2 linked regions of the Nothobranchius furzeri genome follow. The protein of the gene in region 2 binds, or shares a complex with, the protein of the main gene of each other region. Links are inferred from orthologs where the notes say so. Each region holds a gene or a part of one and is shown on either strand. Other genes may lie near its edges.

What was found.
Region 1: stx8 (region 2) and vamp2 share a complex: the UniProt entries of both Homo sapiens proteins name them as parts of the SNARE core complex. The link is inferred for Nothobranchius furzeri from reciprocal best matches to the Homo sapiens genes STX8 and VAMP2.

What each region holds. Positions count from the first base shown.
Region 1 is NC_091750.1:51,654,461-51,664,884, reverse strand, and holds the start of vamp2 (vesicle-associated membrane protein 2), read left to right. Parts: upstream 1-4,781; 5' UTR 4,782-4,984; coding exon 4,985-4,986; intron 4,987-10,313; coding exon 10,314-10,416; intron 10,417-10,424. UniProt on the Homo sapiens protein: Involved in the targeting and/or fusion of transport vesicles to their target membrane. Major SNARE protein of synaptic vesicles which mediates fusion of synaptic vesicles to release neurotransmitters.
Region 2 is NC_091747.1:69,831,765-69,841,696, forward strand, and holds part of stx8 (syntaxin-8), read right to left. Parts: intron 2,368-9,932; coding exon 2,266-2,367; intron 1-2,265. UniProt on the Homo sapiens protein: Vesicle trafficking protein that functions in the early secretory pathway, possibly by mediating retrograde transport from cis-Golgi membranes to the ER.

The sequences.
Region 1 (10,424 bases), on a different chromosome or scaffold from region 2:
CCAGGCTCTGTGGCGGCGTCCGCGGCGAGGCGATGCCGAAGGAAGAGAAGCCGGCCGGTGGTCCGCGGCGAGAAACTGGAGCAGGTTCTCCCAAGGGATAACCTCGCCGCTGGATCCTTCTGTGGGTTGGCTCATTCTGTCACAACGTGCCGGTGAGTGGAACGGAGGTGAGGATCCACATGCTGGGGAGGAATCAGGCAGGTAGACAAACTGGGTAACGTAAAAGGTTTTAATAACAAACGCACGCAGGACATGGGAACAATGAGCCAACAAGAGACACAAAACTGGAGGGGTTTAAATACAAGAGGGCTAGGAGCTTGGGTGATTGGAAAACGAGAGGCAGGTGGGAGCAATTAACAGAGACACATGGCTGAACAGGATGGGGAGACAGGACAGGGTGTGACTCTCTCTCTCTCTCTATATATATATATATATATGAAGATATATATATATATATATATATATATATATATATATATATATATATATATAGATATAGATATATATAGATATATATACATTTTTAGTTTATTGATGCTATGAATATCACAAAAACCCAAATACCAATCTGACCACTGCACTGACCTTTTGAGACCAGCTCACTTTGACATTTAAAGATCAATCAGACTGTGACGTTTGCAGGTGATACTGTGGCTTTGACCTGGAACAATGATGAGTCTAAGAGTAGGAGGGGAAGGAGTGTGCTGATTGGTGCACGGCAAACAGTTTCAGCATCAATTTGACAAAGACAAAACATAATAAATCTGTATCCAGCTGAGGGAAAGTTGTAGACACTAAAAAACTCAGAACACAGTAACAGTGACTGTTGCTGAAACAACCTCCACATTTGCAAAATCAAGCATTCATTTGGCGCCATCTTGTGGCTGAACTAAAACAAAGGCAGGAGGGAATCTACAGATGTTTTTCTGAGTCCAAAAAAATTTTTTTTTATTGTGTACCCTAACCCTTTAAAAAAGCAATCAGCAGAAACAAAAGGGTGTGAACCAAATAGATATTGAATAAATGTCCAGAAGGACATGAGCATAACTAAACTTTGTATTTAGTGTTGTAACGTGGTCTAATGTGTTTACTTATACACAACTGATAACTTAAACAAAAGTGCATCAGTTGCACTTAGATGAGTAGAAATAATCAATAAATATATACATGAGACAAAAAATGTGACACAAATTCATCAAGACCTTCAGATGTTTAAAATCCAAGCATACAGAAAGAATATTGTCCCTTTTTGCAATATAAATTATTTAAATGTAAAAACAAACAAGATTTATTCATTACTTTTATTATTTAAACAACATTAAATAAAACATGCCAATAAATTCATTTTTCATGTCTTTGTTTCCCAATATTTTACTGATTTTCCCTAGAAACTGTTTCAAGGACCCTTTAATGAAACTCTCAAATCCTAGAATTGACTTTAACCCCTTAAATATTAGGAGAAAACTCAAAAATATGTATATAAACAGAAGTGTTCTATAGGTCTGTAAAATTATAAATAATCAGAAATGTTCTCCTTTATGCTCCCTGTGAAGGCAGAGTCATCTTGTTCGGTGCAGTGTTGCTGTAGCTTTTGTAGAGTGGGAAAAATCTCACCACAGGTCAGTCCTCTGTCACTGGAGTCTGCTAGTGTGGAGGTGTAAAAATGAGATAGATGATGCTAACATGATAGGCAGTGTTAGGTTATTAGTTATCTGAAGTATTAACACCAGAGGACGTGCGAACGTCACTGCTGCTGCTGCGTTGATATTCACTAGTCTGGAGCGGGCCAAAACACGTCAATAACTTTAAAGTTTTAGCATATTTTATGCCCAAAGGCTTTTGTATATTTGGAATGCTCCCTTGATGAAATATCTACTTTGAAAATATTGCAAGTTACCCTGTTGTCTTGTTTTCTTGCAGGGCCGGATTTAGCCAGCCCTCCAAAGGGGTGCAGGTAGAATATCGGCAGGGGGGTGGGGTGGGGGGTGGGGGTGTCAGGTCTGGGAAATAATTTTTCGGGTGTCACGTACCTCCAGATCCCTAAAATGCATAAAAAACTGTGCTATCATCATTACAGTTCGTCTGTCCATATATCTATCTTTTCCTTTGATCCATTCCTTACACTACCCTCTGCATTTACCCGGGCTTGGGACCGGCACAAATGGGACACTGGCTTGTTCCCTATTGGGGCTGCATTAATCTTTTATCTATCTATCTATCTATCTATCTATCTATCTATCTATCTATCTATCTATCTATCTATCTATCTATCTATCTATCTATCTATCTATCTATCTATCTATCTATCTATCTATCTATCTATCTATCTATCTATCTATCTATCCATCCATCCATCCATCCATCCATCCATCCATCCATCCATCCATCCATCCATCCATCCATCCATCCATCCATCCATCCATCCATCCATCCATCCATCCATCCACCCACCCACCCACCCACCCGTCTGTCTGTCTGTCTGTTTGTCTGTCTGTCTGTCTGTCTGTCTGTCTGTCTGTCTGTCTATCTATCTATCTATCTATCTATCTATCTATCTATCTATCTATCTATCTGTCTGTCTGTCTGTCTGTCTGTCTGTCTGTCTGTCTGTCTGTCTGTCTGTCTTTTTTATTTTACTTGTACATATATATATATTGGGTCCATGTGGCAGGGGTGAGGAGTGAGCACCACCTCACCCCTGCCACATGGACCTCAAGGGATAAACCATCAATCCTGCTCAATGGTCAACTTTCCTTGCAGGGTCACCCATAAAGACAGTGGGAGGATTAAAGATTAATCAGAATCAGAATCAGATGAATTTTATTGCCAGCGCTCCTTTCAGAGCATAGGAACTTGACTCCATAGTACAACCTGACCAAGGTTACACACACACATATAGACAAGACAGATACAGGCACACCATGGGAGCAGCCATAACGGCGCTCCGTTGTAGATGAGTAAGGGAATACATGAGGGAAGTTCAGGGAGGGAGAAAAAAGGCATTAGCAGGGTTACACCAGCAGGGTGTAGCACTCCAATGCAAAAAAACACCCGACATGTAAGCAACAAACGTCACAGTTCACAACATGAGACCCGGTAGGTAGGGGGGAGGGGCTGGGATCCTGGTTTCCTCAGCGGGGGCTGCCTGTGTGGCGCTCAACCAGCTGGCTCCGCAGGTGGGAGGGAGGTCATGGGGAAGCACAGAGAGCAGTGAGTCCTTTAGCTTGATGACCTCTGTGGAGACCACAATCTGAAGGTGGGGGGGTGGGTGGATAGAGATTCACAGCATTTGTCTGCATTCCTTCCAGCGTGGAGGTTTTGCACGCAACTCCAAGGCTGCTTATGGCGTCAGATTCGATAACAGAACTTTGTTTGGGTCAGACAGAGATAATTTTTCCTCTCTGCCTTAAGTCTGTATTGATCATTCAAGTCCTCCAGTGAAGCCAATTCAGTGATTTAACATCTCCACACCATCCGGTGACCCTTTCCGAGATGTTATCAATCCTGCACGCTAACACCGGTAACGCAGCTAAGACATTGTCCAGCTTGCGATTCACCTCGAGCAACGTCCCAGTCTGTGAGGTATCCACACGGACGGTGCCGTCCATGGTTGCGGGTCGCCCTCCAATCGCTCCCGTCATCCCAATTTTACGGAAAGCCAGATATCCTCCCACTCTAATCAGAAGAAATCCAATGATCATCAGGCCAAATATCCACATATCTTCGACGCCCTCAATGGACAGCTGAGAGAGACAGATGATATTCCACTTTTTCCAGGAATCAAACATATATCCCGCTGCATGTGTCCCCTGAGGACAAGCGTGAGCCCCCTCCTCCGTCCTCATTGTAGAAGAAATCTTATCAATTGCGTTGAATGACCAATTAATTAAGTCCATGTTGAAAAATGCTGAAAAAGGTGATTGCAGAGGAAATGCAGAGAAGCGCTCTGTAGGCAGACGGGACAAAAAGAGCCTTGGGAAAACACAGATAAGGGAGGAAAAGGCAGAAGGGTCTGCTCCCTGTGAGCGCCGGAAGAGATATTTAAAAGATATTTATTTTATTTTATTTTATTTTATTTTATTTTATTTTATTTATCCACCCATTTTGGAACTGGCTCTATTGTTGCCAGCTGCTAGCTACTCAGCGTAGTCGTAACAAATCTCTCTTTCTCCCAGCTGAGGTTGTTCAAAGAGGTATATAGGACAGATAATATTGAAACTGTTGAGAAAAATCCACTTCTAAATATCTAAACTCCCTCTTTAAAACTCTTTGGGCAAACAGCCCTTAGATGAATAACAAAAAGCAGCTTATAAATAAATGAGGTGTTGTCCATGAGTAAGACACTCATTCATTTGCTCAGGTGGAACAGCTCCCCATCACATCCACATCGTGTTTACTATGAATGATAACAGCCTCGCCACACCTCCTTCCCAAGAAGCCATTTTGTTGACACAGTCTTGCAGTCAACATTAAAACTCCTTTTTAGGAGCTTCAAACGAAATCGTGACCATCAAATGTCCCATCTGTGCAAGAATAGCGCGTTTTCTCCCAGTAACAGCGCATAGGGAATACAAGAGCGGTGTTCCGGGCTGGAAAACGGTGGGTTTGGAGTGCATGGCCACCCATTTTAACATGAGGCTCACCGCTGCTGACGTCACCGAGCCGTCTTTGTCCACCTAATCCAGGCGGCTGTGTATTACCCCTTCATTACCACACAGACCCAGGCTCCGGACATAGCCTGCAGGTAACGCTTCGCCATAGAATTAGGGATAGATAATAACAAATAATAAAATAATTATTGTAGCGAGGAGACAAACCAGTGCTCCTCCTCGGACATATAGACAGGGAACGCCACAATAACCAACCAAAGGCTGCCAGAGGCTAGAGAGGAGCGCAGAATCCATCCATCTGTCAGCCACTTAGGACCAGATCACCTTTCCAGTCCGGATTTCACTGCAGCTGTCTAGCTAATAACACCAGGAAAATGTAAGTAGCAACATTTTAATCTTTATTTAAAAAATAAATAAATAAGCTGATAACTGCTTTATGTGGTTTGGGGGATTTCCTGCTGTCTTCTGTTTCGCGCAGCCTTAACATTTCCCAGCTTTGATCTAAATCATCCTTAAACGCCGTATTTTATTTTATTTGCGTCGCTTGTTTTTCTCTGAGCCTGAATATAGCGGCCAACGCATCGGCCTAACCTTGGAGGAGCAGAAAGAGAAGCACCGGCTCTTATCTCGATTATAAAACACCATCTCATTTATTTATTCAGTCTGTTTATTTTCCATTTTACACAGAACGCTCTGTGTTTACCGCCTGCTTCTTTTCAGTCCGTTTTCCTAGTGCGCACGCACGCACGCGCATATATTTTTTCCAGTTTGAACTGGTTTGAAAAGAAAAAAGATATCACACGCACGGACACACACATTTATTACATGTATTGCAGGCGAATTAAAAGTCCAATAAGAAAATGAATGAACTATCAACTATGTTTGAACTTTATTATTTGTGTTTGCTTTTATTGCCACCGACCGACCAGCTGGTGACGATTAAGCGGATTTTAGAAACAGCAAGGACACAGTGCTCAACAAACCAGAACTGGAGCTTCATTTTAATTTGCTAGCCTTCTCCTGAAATAAAAAAATAACAAACAAACGGAGAAATTATCGACTAATAGTCAATAAACGTGACTGATGGTAATATTAGCTCAGGCCTAGTTTTTGTGCTATTTCCACCCTACAGCGGGGGGTGGGGATAGCCTAGCCTCCTACTGTATGTCGTCGATTGTCACGAGAGGGCGGTCGGGTCCAAATTTCAGACTGGCTATGACCTTTTGGTATAACTAGCCCCTTTAAATACATTTCTGAAGGCATTTTGTGTGTTTCATATGTTTTAACTCGATCATTTAGTAGACACTAAAGCTAAAGTGAGGGTTTCTGTGACACCTCCTTCCACCAGTCTCCCTGCACATCAATGACGTTTAACCAGCCTGATGCTAGCACACTAGTTTCTACTGTCCATGGCGTCTTCCTCTGTGAGCTACCAGCTAGCAGGAGACTCCACACCCTCATTCTGACTCAGTTTGTGCTCCATGTCAGCCACCATGTTTTAAAGGACATTAAAGTGGAACCTGTTATGTTAGTGAAGTCAAGAAACATCGACCAGGACCGGGCTGGCTGAGGGTCGGATGAGACAGAATGATGCTGACGAACTGTCCAGTGCTGAAATGTCGCTGTCCAGTGCTGAAATCCAGTAACGACAGAGATATTCTCCAAGGGTGGGAGTTATACAGTGATAACATTAATATTCGACATTTCATTATTATTATTACAGACATTTTGTTCTTATTAGGGTGAATTACCGTAATGTTTCAGTGTGTTATAATCAAAAAGCATAAATAGGGAGCCTAAGTCTCCTCCCCTTCCAGTTGGCTAATGGATCCCCAGAAGAACGACAAAATGAATACAAGTCAACGGGGCTGAAAGAGCTATTTTCTGATCCATTTAGCCTTACGCCCTGGAATATGTTGTACTTCAATTTTAATGAAAAAATAAATGATATGATTCAACCATGCCAATCACGTACTTTGAGATTTATCAGCTTGTAAATGATCATAATTAGCATGGCAACAAATCGGATGTTGGGTACATTTATGAGTGTCCCCTAGAGTCTGTTAGTAAAACCAAAGGTGAAACTTATCTCCTCGCTGCGTGTTCATCTTTTTAACACCTTAATCTAACAGCTGAAATGTCTCATCAGCCTTCATTAGGCTCTACAGGAGTGGTTCATCACTAAATGAAATAAATCAGCTTTGTTCACGATCTAAAACATGAAGGAAGCATACTGGAAGCAGACTGAAGGCCAGGCATGTCAGCTCCACTTTACTAAGTCCAACCAGTCTGCCACTCTGAAGCTGTAAATGCGGTATTTTGGTGACAGAGGGTGGTGGGGTCTCAGTGACATTTAATTAACCATGTAAAGAGTCATTTCAGTACATACTGCCTCAATAAAGGGATTTAAAATATGAACAAGTTGTATAGTATGAATTTAATACGTTTTAAATAAATATGGTTAAGTCTACATCACGCATCAAGCAGTTTAAATTAAAAAAATGCAAAAACACTTTAAGAACAAATGTCTAAACCTGAGTTAGTTTTATATTTTTAACACTTGCAGATTGACAATGTTTCTCCTCAGTGAACAAGTTAAGGGTGGGGGTCCTAGTGAACTTTTCTGTCTTTTTAAAAATTCACCTGCTTTTCTTGGCAGACAAAGGACATAAATTACAGCTTTGTCTTGAAAGAAGGTTGAATATTTTTAGCTTTCACAGCCAATCTTACATCAGAAGTAGACTGTACAGGGAGTCATGTGAAACCTCACCTTCCCAGTAGGTCACGTTATCTGCCGTTGTCAGATAAGGTTTCCTCTTTCTTGTCCTGTTTTTGTTTTGTTCTGTTTAATTTAAAGAATACAATTAAGATGGGTGTTCTGTTTTCTTTCTTTTCATCACAATCATGGAAGCCTCAAATGAGTTTATCGTCTTTTAACAAACCAAAGACTTTGTGGCAGAGATCAGAGACAGCTGCACCTGGCTGGATGGAACACAGTAGGTGGTTTTTACAGGATGTGGAAACTGATGAGAAGCCTTGTCACTGCATTAGCAGTTCTGCCTGGTGTTAGCTGAGAGGCGATGACAGCGAGAACCTCTACACGCATTGCACCTTTGTTGTGGTGCTTATTGCACAGCAGCTATACAGATGCTACTTTTTAAATATTGAACTAAATTAATAAAAGTAAATTGTGAGGCTAAACAATAAAAGTGACATTTGCTTCACGAAAGAAAACAATATATTTTCTAACCTTTAAAAAAATGATGGTAATAAGATGTAACAGATTTTTTAAAAGTGATCAGACATTTCCCTTTGTGTCTGTTGGGTTTTTGTGCTGCTTTGGATGCAAAATGTTGCACTTTTTTTTTTGGTCAAAATGTTGTAATTCACCTAAGAACCTTTTAGATAAATACAACTTAGACAAACTTGTTTTGTTCACTTTTTACAGCTCAGTCTTTTGACTATTATGTGTCCACTTGTTGACCAAAATCAGACACAAAACAAGCTTAACCCTTCCACTTTCCTATCAGGTGACCCCACCAGGATAGGGGGTGGCTAAGCAGGGTTTAACGTTTATGCCTTGCCAGGGGTGAAGTGATGCACCCCTTAAAAATATTAAAATTAAAAATCAAAATACACCAGATGTCCATCTGACCCCATTAACAATGCGGGAGGGTTATAGGGAAACTTGGCAGTTTTGGCTATCTTTTAGCACCCCCTATTGTCCAGTTAGTTAAACCAAAAGTAAAACATATCTCCTTGCTGTGCGTTCATCTTTTTAACATGATGAAATGTCTCCTCAGCCTTCATTATGTTCAGGAGCGATTCATCACTGAATCAAACAAATCAGCTGTGTTCACAATCTAAAGCATGCTAGTAGCAGACTGCAGTGCCAGGCATGTCAGCTCCACTTAACTAAGCTCACCAGGGTGCAGCCTGCCACTCTGAAGTTGCAAGTGCGATATTCTGGCTGCAGAGGATGGTAGGGTGTGAGTGACATTTCGTTAATCCTGAAAAGGGTCATTTAGCACATTCTGGCTCAAGAAAATTATTTAAATAAATGAAAAAGTTGCTAAGTATGGCTTTAAGTCAACAAAAGTGCAGATAAGACTGTTATTAGCTTTATAAAAGCATCATAATAGCAAAAAATGGTCCTTGCTTGTAATAGAATGTGTATTTATTACGAACAGAAGATACCTTTTACTGACTTTCTGCTATAATAGTTTAACTACTACTAACATTTTGAATGCATATGAAACATGGCAAACAAAGGCATTCTTACATTTTTGGCTTTATAAATGTAAAGTCTGTCACTAAATGGTAATAAGATTACAGCTGAGACTGCTTCATTTTAGAACGTTGTTGTTTTGCATAACACAAAGAAGCTGTGCCATCCAACACTTGGTGAAAAAGCACAGTAATTTACCTGAAAATGTATACAAATACAAAATAAATTAAACCAGCTATTTAATAAATAGTTTTAAAATTGCTTTATCTTTTTTGTCCTCTTGATAACTTGAGTGCATGCTAACATGGGTTGCAACTTTCGTGACACACTGAATTTTCAGTGATAAAATGGTAAAATGCAGGAACTCGGTTAACTTCAGTTTTCCAAACGGCTGATTGTTTTGTAATATGAATGCCTTTTAATGCAAGTTCCATAAAAAACGATTCCACAAAATCACCAAACTCAACCACATTACGTCCTTTGGAGGTCTTTATCTGTATATGTATTTTTTTTATTTTTTACTTCACTATCAGTTTCAGGAATCAGATATAAACTTGGTCATAGAAAAATAAAAAAACATCTATAGTTGGAATTTTTAAAGTGACTGCAGACCAGTTTATGTTAGCAGGCAGCAAAGTTCAGCTGTTAGTTTGTGAACCATGAGGGTGTAAATTATGATACCACAATCATTTCTAAGACTGTCGTCAGGGGTGAAGCATTACAAAGGGAGTGAGTTACAGAAATAAGGATGTAATAAAATATCAATAAACTTAAAAAACATGTTTCCTGTTATGATACTGGACTGATATATAAAAGCAGTGTATTGATTAATTTATTCAGAATTTACATGCAAACATTTACTGTATTTCTTTCATGCGGTGCAATTCTTATTCTGACCGCTAGATGGCAGCAGTTTTTGTGGCTTACATGCTGACGGAACATGATTTGGCAGTAAAACCAAGTTATGTTTTAACTTATATATATATATATATATATATATATATATATATGTGTGTGTGTGTGTGTGTGTGTGTGTGTGTGTGTGTGTGTGTGTGTGTGTGTGTGTGTGTGTATTTCGTATTGTCTCCAGATTCTTGCCAATAAAATGTCTGTAACACAAGTTACAAGCGTAATTTCAATGGTGTGAATTATTAAAACATGACAATCTCCACCCAAATAAGATCGAAAACTAAAATGCAATTGTGATTATTGGCTCAACCTTGTTTTAAAGCAAAGCTATCAGCCATCTAACAGGAAAATGACGTAGAGGTGAAAGGTGTGGTTTTATGAGCTGCCTCTGTAATGTTTGCTTCATGTCATACTCATGTCTGCACATCAGGGTAACACCACAATCCTCTCATTTTCCAAACCTAGGCAGTTTATTTTGGATCAGTTCTGTTTTATAAACAGATGCAGACTGACATATTTTAAAAAAATTCTAAATTTACATTTGATTTGATTGCTTTGATCACCAGGTCTGCCCCAGCTGGAGCTCCTGCACCAGAGGGAGGAAGTCAGGCCCCTCCCAACCTCACCAGCAACCGCCGTCTGCAGCAGACGCAGGCACAGGTGGACGAGGTAAGCAC
Region 2 (9,932 bases):
CGAGATCACACAATCCCTCAAGACTTCCAAGTTCACGGCTTGTTTATGCAATCCGCCATTAAACCAAAAAGAAGGAAATCACGTTTGATATCGCTGCTTGACGTCATATATGATGTTGTTTCTTTCCACCGCCAGGATTAAAGCCATGAAAAACACACCACTACACTTCTGGAATGATGCTGTGACTAAATAGGCCGTTGGGTCACACTGCAGTACTTTTATTTAAAAAATTACTGGGCATTTTACACTGAAACCGTGTGTGATTTCCTGTCTAACCCTAAACTGACATGTCCGAGAAGCGGCTTGCTGCAAAAATAGAGGCTGATCATTTGTTCAGCGGGTGCGGTGCACCGCTTCTTAGACTCGTCTGAAAATTGCTATGGCGCGGTTGTTTTTGAAACACTCCATAGACTATAATGGATTCTATTTGAAGCAGCGACGCTCCGTACCGCTGATGCTTCATTGTGAAACTGGGGTGATTGTCTATTTTTACTTTCATTTTCAATATATACAATACTTGTGATCATGACATCACCTTCTGTTGTGCCAAGGCATAATCTTCGTTCACGAGTAAGGCGTTGTGTTAATACTACTACCGAACATGGCAACGTGAAAGCCGCAAAACTGTCACATCGCCATGTTGCCACACTGATTTCATAAGACACACTGTGGCAGCAGTATTATGCTGATTTGCCAGCACAATGTCTTTTGAAAATGGCTAAAACAACTGCATAACGTGACAAGATGTGTGACACGGTCAAGATGTTGGTGGCCAAAGCCGCTTATTGGGCTTTAATTCAGCTCTTCAGAAATCTATAGGTCACATGACGGAGGGTTTGTCCAGTATGTTTAGTCATTGGTTGGCGCAAATCATAAGTGGCTGTTGCACTGCCTTTGCTGTCTGGTTTAATACGTTAAAACTTTAGACATTTCCACTCTCTTGACATTAAAGGTGCTTTTATAAGACACGCCATGCCGGTAAATCGGCATAATATTACTGCAATGGTATGTCTATAAACGCGCCATGCCAGCATGGCGTTGCGCGAATTTTGCGGCATTCGTTCCGCCTCGCTTGGTAGAAATATTGCCGCACGAGCCCCTCACCTCTGACAGCTAAACGCGTGTCAGCCCCGCTAATCCATTTGGAGCGACTGTGGATGGCCCACCCCGCAAAAGAGGATGGTCGCGTTAGTGATGTATACTGCGCGCAGAGTGCCGGCCGGGAGGGATATAAACACAGATAAACATGGCCTCTCACTAGTATCTTTCAACCACCTACAACATGGCAAACTGGACAGACGCGGAGACCACGGAGCTTTTGGCCGTGCGAGCAGACGAAAAGATTAGTCGCCTTTTTACGGGGACGGTGAGAGACAGCCAGGTGTTCGACAGAGAGGTGAAAACACCGGCTGAGCGGGGCAACAAGCGGGACAAAAAACAGGTCACATCAAAGCTAAAGGTCCTGAAAAAGAAATTCCATCAATCTGACGTGTCTTCCGTCTGACGCTGAATGCGCGACCCTGTACGTCACATGCGGGGGGGCCGCCCAGCGACCTCCCTCTATCCCGTCTTGGTTTGAGAGGTGCCAGATGGCCGTTTATTCTAGCTTCAGCTTTACTACGATAAATGCCAAAATAAACCCCAGGGTGCGCGGCAAATCCCGTTTTGCAAACGCTACGGTCCTGTAAAAACAGCTTAAGCGTGTCTGCTAACAGCTTAATGTTATGGTGTGTTACTTACCTGCACGCTGCTAATTATGTGACCTTGTGGTGTTGTCATCTATGCAACGATGAATACTGATGCCATGAAACTTGTTAAAATGAAAACTAAGCCATTGTCTTTACATTTCAATAACTCAGGATGATTTTAAAAGACCATGCTTGTTGTTTTAGAAGGTTATATCCGATCTTTTCCACCCGATTCCAATCATTTGAAAATCACATAATCAGATCGAAGGATCTCTACTCTTAACAGATGATTAATTGTTCCTAAACCTTCAAAGAAAATCAAAGTTGGTAGCTTGTTGTTATCTATACATTTGCTTTATGCTTTCAACCATTTCCTAGAGGTACTCAACCACAAACCCTAATGTGTCGCATGAGTGGGGCGCAGAGGTCTGGGGGCGGGGGTGGGTGTATACGTGCTGTGCTAAGCTCTCCCTCCCATTTGAGTGAACCTTCGTAGTACACCACTCTAGCTTAAAGAACAGCAGTTCAAGCTGCAGGCCGCCTCCTGTTGGGTAACTCTGAAACAAAGTAGGCTCACCACAGGACGCTGACTTGGTCTCCACCAGCTTCACCCTTCGTGTTTCATTTCGAATCCTGCTGTCCGTCGTGTCGACGAGCTGTGCGAGGTCATCGATGATTTCTGAGACAGACAGGAAAAGAAGACGTTTAAATTAATTAATTAGTTTCTGAATAACCATTTTTATACTTGGTGTTGTAAAAGTCGGCTAATTCAAAGGGCAGAGGTTATAAACGCACAGTAGAGGATTGTGTGCAAGTAATCATCCACCCTTTTGCAAGACTAGGCTTTAAAAAAATAGTTTTCAGGGTATCTGCAGGTTTAAGGGAGCCAAATTTAAGACTTTTTAAGATCTTTTTAAGGCCACTTTGACCAAATTTAAGCAATTTTTTAAATTAAATTTAAGCTATATTTTCCAGCTATTGGCTGGAACCGGTGCTAACCACGTCGCGAACGTGGGATTAGCCATCCAGTTACCATTAAATTTGCACTTCCCCATGGCGCAAGCTCCCACTAGCTTAACCAGCTAATGTGCTCATTTAAAAATAGCCCCCTTTCACAACCAACTGAATGTGTACGGTTCCGCTTACGCCAACATCATACACAAAAAATGCTGAACACTCGAAATTCACGAAAATTTCATAGAAATATTGGGTCGTTGGTAATTTAAGACCTTTGGAAACTGTATTTAAGGATTATTTGTCATTTTTAAGGATTTTCAAGGCCTTAAATTTGGAAAAGCTAATTTAAGACTTTTTAAGACTTATTAAAGACCCGCGGATACCCTGTTGATATTTATGTTTCTATTTTTCTGTATGTGTGTGTGTGTGTGTTCATATGTGTGTGTATTTGTGTACACATGTTTGGCCAGGGTCTCTAGAGCAGAACTTTAAGTCTTGAAGGTTGTCCAGATGAAGCCGCGTGATTTGCTTGGCTTGTGTTATCGTGGCATCTCCAGAGGTCTGGAGCCAGAAATAAAATCAGACAACTGCTGGAGGACGACCAAATTCTGACTATGGTATTGTTTTTAAAGAATGCCATTGTTTACGGATAATGCCAACCCATTTCACCCATGACTGCCGTATAAAATGGCTGATTTGACCACAAATTTAACCACATTTTTTACAAATCTGCTCAGAAGTATTAAGACGGGCGTATCAAAACAAAATTCTGCTAAAAACAACATCTTTTCCTGTAAAGGCCATCCATCAGTCTCTCTCAAGAGCCCAACTGTCACACTGACAGAAAACTATGAATAAACAGATGAAGAAACATGTGAGCAATTACATCCAGAGCAGCATGCCTCATTACTCCTGTTATAAATCAAGAGAGTCACTACAGAACACAGCTCCAGTGTAAAAAGTCTGTTTTTTATCTTAACTTTAGCAGTGATGACAGGTAATATCCAGTAGCCTTATAAAATAAAAAAGAAAAAGCAAAAATAAGACAAAGTTGCTAGCTTCTATATTCAGTTTCACAACAAAATCAGTGTGGTGACTTTTTAAAAATACATTTAAATGAGTGAAACTAGAACATATATACTTCTTAAGCCCTGGAATAATGGTTTATAGTTGCTTTAGATGGCAAAAGGGTCAAATAATCTGAATGAGTCATGGATTTGTTCTTCTAAATTTGTGCTAAATCACTAAATTCCCACAACTGTACTCAGCATCGTACTTGTCTCAGTGTCAAGAAAACACCTGAATAAGAGCGAGTCATCCCCCGTTGGTAAGACAGTTTGTGTTTAGACTGAAATGGACTAATTAAGATGCATGAATTCAAGGAAGGAAAGCAAAGCGTGTCTGTCTGGGGATGAAAAGCGTTGAAACAAGAAGACATGAGAGAGCCGTAAGCATGGCGCCCCTGGAGACTCCCACATCATCATCTGAGCATCAGGCAACAATTTAGAGTGAAGAAACTCTTCCTTTACTGTCAGGCAAAGGGTGTAGACACTGAGCCATTTCTGCCGCATGCCACTCCAACGAGTCATAAAGCATGATGCTAGTCAGCCGCTGCCAAGTTCCCTGATTCAGCTTTGGCCCAAATGAAACATCTCAATTCATTGATGAATTTCCAGCTGTGCCAAAACGCACTGGAGCTCGGACACAACCTCCAACAACAGCTGCAATGAAACTATTAATTTTTCACATCGAACATTTTGTTTGAAAATTTTTGATAATTATTAAGTTGTGTTCAACAAAATCCTAAAGTTTCCTTAAGGTGTCTTTTTCTTCCATCAATGGGCTTCTGGTGTTGCCTCTGATCTTCTGAAGCTCAAAGAAAAACATGTTTCAGGCTCAGCTTGATGAAAAATTCTACCACAGCTTAAAAAAATGAGTGTATGTGTTTAAGTTATCTTTTTTGATATCTTTATAACTTTGTCAAAAATACATTGCTATGAAAGGTGCACATCAAATGCTAAATGTGACCTAAAAATGTCTAAAATACATTAAAAGGTGAATTTTACTAGTGTTTATGGTCTTTTTGACATTTTCATAATCCTTCCACTAGCACCTATTTGGAACGTCAGAGTCAGAATCAGAAGGGGGTTTATTGCCATACATGTGAGAAATAACAACATTTGGAAATTGCAGCAGTACTTGGTGCAAAAAAAAAAAAAGAGATAAGCAAAATGATTCATATAGAGAAGCAATAATCAGAGGAACAACAAATATGTATAAGACAGTTGGTCACAAGTTCGCCTGCTCAGCCTCCCCACACCAAGAGGCCATTATGATCTACATGTTTTGAAGCCAAGGAGCAGCCTGGCCTGCCAGACTCATCCTCTGTTTAACTCTGCACAGAGAGAGTCTGGTAACACAGGCAGAGAGGCGCATGAGGGGCGGGACTAGGCAGCTCAAAAGTAACCAATCAGAAAAAAACTGAAATGCCGACTGTGCCGCGCAATGCTGTAGTTGTTTAACCCCCAAATTCCACTACCTCCGCTCCGACACGAACGCCGGAGCAAAATCGGTCCCGTTGTTGTCAATCAGAGCAATTCCACTACTGCGGCCGTGCTCCGGCAGCGCGGCGCAGTGCCCCGCCCTCTGTTCCGGCGTCCGGCAAAAATAGAATCAATCCTATTTTTGCCGGACGCCGGAGCACCTCCGCAGTAAATGGACAGAAATCACAACCGCCCAACAGGAAAAGGAGCAAGCACAACTTCCGTTTTTCACAATAAATCGATAAACAAAAGGCGTTTTTTTGTTTCATATGCACAGGTTTAACAACTTTTAACAACTATCAATGGCGGCTGAACTTTAAATGCACAAAAATAAGCCATAAATACACTTTCTACTATCAAAGTAGTCACACTCAGTTGATCCAAACACTGCCGATCTCTCAACACAAATGATGGGCAGATTAAACAGTTCATGCCGATGCTTCTCCCACACAACGGGTGTTTGGATCTAACTTCCGCGTTTATTGCTCGGACTGTATCGCAAGATCTCGAAAATCCCGCGCATGCTTGTTTGCCCACCTCAGGTCTCCGCACCGGAGCGGAGCCGTTGTAGAGCGGGTACCAGTAAAAATTGAGTTCGGAAGCGAGCGGCTGTGGAAGGCGGGGGCGGACCGGAGCGGAGCGGAGCGGAGCGGAACGGAGGTAGTGGAATTTGGGGGTAACTGTAATGAAAAAGGCATCTGGCAACGGTGCAAACATCTTTTTTTTTTCAGAAGAAAGGCTTTTAGCGCTTCTACTTGTTGTTATTTTAAAGACATTCAAGTCATTTAGAACAGAGGAAAGAGCCACAGCAAACTCCGCTTCCGTCGCCATATTTATGAGAAACTCGGCGTTATGCCGTGTGATGTACGCTACTAAGTGCTGATTGGCTCGGTTAGAATTCTCACAGGGTGGGGTTATTTGAATAGGAGAGCTCCCAGACCCTTTCTCTGTGCAGAATTAAACAGAGGAAGATTTGGCAGGCCAGGCTGAAGGAGTGGCTAAGATTGCAGTTCCACCCTCATCCGCTAGGGGCAAATCATCATTGACTCCCATGTTAAAAATGTCCGTTTTACAGCTGAAATAAACATGTTTACAGCCTGGTTCAACATTTTAGGTTTAATAGATCTAGTTTATATTCGTGACAACTGTGATGGGGGTGAATTTTCTTTAACTTTTCTGTTTAAGTGTATTTAAATGCTTAAAATTCTGAATAATTAATGAGCATCAGAGCCATGTGTATTCAGAGCTAGCTCCGGGGAAAGGCCTCAGCCTGACATTAATAGATGTTCAGCCATTTTGACTCTCTGAACTTCATTTTTGTCTGTTTGTGTTTGTCCATATTATTCTATGATTAAAAACCAAAGAGGGCAAGCTGTGGTTATTGACTGCACTAACATATCATCCAAGCAGTTTCTGCTTCTTCTTTATCAGTAAGTAAAATTATATTTCTGGTTCGTTGGTTGAATGGGGGAAATGCTGTGTCATTTAACTGCTTGGTCAAACATGTTAGTCTGGCTGCTGGCTGGATAAGAAACTTGAGCGGATGCCAGTCTTCTGTCTCCCGCCCGAGAAGAGTTGCTAGAACAGGCGGCTGGCTGCTCCCATTTCCAGGGGCAGCCAATGAACGGACTGGCTCCAATGCGAGGCTGTAGTCAGGCTGGTCACTTGTGGATTTCTGAGGGAGATCACAGAAACACTGCAGCTCTTTTAGTTGATGCTGCTTCACTTTTGAGTCACTCAACCACATTTTTCTCGCTAATTGTTTGCTGGTTGAATGGTGAAAATTCTACCTTAACAATGCTTGGTCTAAGATGGGTTGAAATCGAATGAAATATAATGTGTTGGTGTGGTTGCTGGGTATCTGACCGAGGATAGCAAAGGCTATCGGGCTTCGCTGGTCAACCTTTGTGAAAGACACGCGAGTCTGCCATTTTCGACGCTCTCGTCTCTGGTGGGGAGCACGACACGGAGCCATAAGCAGAGTCAATGCTCCCAGAGAACCGTGCGTTAAGAACGGTGGACTCACGAATCTTTGACTGCGGTGGACCAGCAAAACCCAATGTCCTCGGTCAGCTTACCCAACTGTAATTTTGTTACTCAGCAAGCTGGAGGTGCCTTCATGTTGGAGTCGCTCTACTGCGTTTTTCTTGCTAAAAAGGCTCAGTAAAACTCAGTTAGCTTCAGGGTAGCATGTAGCTAATTTCCCACTCATTTCCAACTGTGGAGAATGAGCTGATACAAAAGGCCAAGGCTTCCGGTCGCAGCGGTCTGGCTCTGCTTGTAATTCAACAGTCCCAGTCCATATTAGATATCCACAGGCGACCAGCAAGACTACAGCCTTGTACAGGAACCTGTCGGCCGTGCGAGTGGGCTTCTCCAGGGTCCCCGAAGCCCTTCTTAGCTTCTCGGGTTAACTAACATTGCTAGCAGGTTGAGATCAGTGGACTCAGTGGTCTCCTTTAAAAAGTAGTTGAAGACTCACTTGTTCAAGCTGGCTTTTGTATGACCTTCTTCAACCCCTCTCTCTTTATTCTGCTCTCCCCACCTATTCCACCTTCCTCAGGATCCACTGATTTCCCTCTTTCCTATTCACGCTCTCTCTTTCTTAACATTTTTTTTCTTTTAAATCCCAATTGCCTATTTTTGCTCATTTTAAATATATTTTTTAACATTTTCTAAATGCTTTTTTATATTTTTACATTTTTTGTTTTGTTTTTGTGAAGTGCCTCGTGAGTTTTATCTTGAGAGGCGCTATAGAAATGATATTTTCTTCTTCTTCTTCTTCTAGCAACTACATTGGTTTCATTTGTTCCAATCCTTTTCCAAATGTAACAGCCCCACCCTCAGCTCCACCTCTTTTCCCATTTTTGTATTGTCTGGGTGTGACTCGGTCAAAAAAAATCAGTGGTGGGAACCTCCCATTTTTGGCTTCAACCTGCGCCTTGGCGAAGCAATGGGCAGCCTATGTCCATATTTTTATTTGTCAATGCCCCAGACCCATGATACCTCCACCGGGAACTGCAACACCCAGCATTCCCCTTTCCCCGATCTTCCTGTCCTACTTTCAGGCAGAAGCCATCTGGCTCTCCACTTGATGTTCTGCCGCCTCATCTCTGGAAGGCTGCCTTTCCGTGTCTTGGCCCTTCACTTGGTCAGATTATCAATGGGAGCCTCAGCACAGGTGTGGTCCCAGCTGCTTTGAAAGCAGCAGTTGTACAGCCAACCCTGAAGAAACCTGGTGCTGATGTCTCTGTGATCGAAAATTACAGGCCTATCTCTACCCTGCCTTTTACATCAAAACTGCTTGAGAAAGTCGTTTATCAGCAGCTGGTCTCACATTTAGCTGACTCTGATCTGTTTGAGGTTTTCCAATCAGGGTTCAGGTCTGGCCATAGCACAGTCGGCTCTACTGAGGGTCCTAAATGACATCTATCTATCACTAGATCAGGGTACATCTGTGGTGCTTCTGTTGTTAGATCTGATGGCAGCATTTGACACAGTCGACCATGCGATTCTACTCGATCGCTTGGAACGATGGGTTGGGATCAAAGGGTCTGCTCTGGATTGGTTTAGATTGTATCTCCACAACAGGACATTCTGTGTTAAACTGGGTGATGTTTTTCTTCATGGGAGGGGCTCCGCTGGGTGGTCCCGCAGGGATTGATCCTTGGTCCTCTTTTGTTTGCAATTTATCTGCTTCCTCTGGGGTCAATCTTTCGTAAGCATGGCCTATCGTTCCATCTCTATGCTGACGATTGCCAGATTTACTCTCCATTGTGTCAGGAGAAAGGACACTCTATCCAGTCCTTTGTGTCCTGTCTTAACGAGGTAAAGTCTTGGTTAATGGCCAACTTTCTGCATCTGAATGAGCGAAAGACAGAGCTCATTGTTTCTCACCCCAACAGCAGGGCTGTGGGTCGTTATGTTGATCTTGGCCCTCTTTCTCCCTACTCCAAACCAGTTGTCACCAGTCTGGGCGTGAAAATTGACGCTGGACTTAAATTTGATGCTCACATCAACTCTGTGATCCAGTCCAGTTTCTTTCACTTGAGACGCCTTGCAAAAATCAAGCCTATGCTGTCAAGAGCCCACCTGGAGCGGGTACTCCATGCTTTTGTAATTTCTAGACTTGATTACTGCAACTCTCTATATGCAGGGTTGTGTCAGTCATGACTGCGTCGCCTACAAGTTGTGCAGAACAGCGCAGCCAGGTTCCTGACTGGAACCAGGAAACGGGACCACATCAGTCCGGTTCTGGCCTCCCTGCACTGGCTTCCGGTTTGCTATCGCTCACAATTCAAAATCCTCGTCTTTGTTTATCATTTCTTCCAGGGTGGTGGTCCCCCCTATCTAGCCACACTCCTGAACAGGCATTCCCCATCACGCGCTCTGCGCTCCTCTGACCAGGGCCTGCTCGCTGTCCCTCGTTCTAGGAGTCGTACTCGCGGGGACCAGGCTTTCTCAGTCCTAGCACCGTCACTCTGGAACCAGTTGCCACCCTCAGTCAGGCTGTCCCCATCTCTGCCAGTCTTTAAGAGTCGCCTAAAAACCCACCTCCTCCGCTTGGCGTTCCTTGAACGTGTTTGAATTTGGCCCTTTTTTATGCTGATTTTATTTCCCTGTTTTCATTGGTCTCTCTATCCCTTGTTTTACCCATTTGTCTTCTACTAGAATGTTTTACCTTTTATTGTAATATTTGAATTGCTTTTATTTTCAATGTATTCATCATATTTCACTTTTCCCG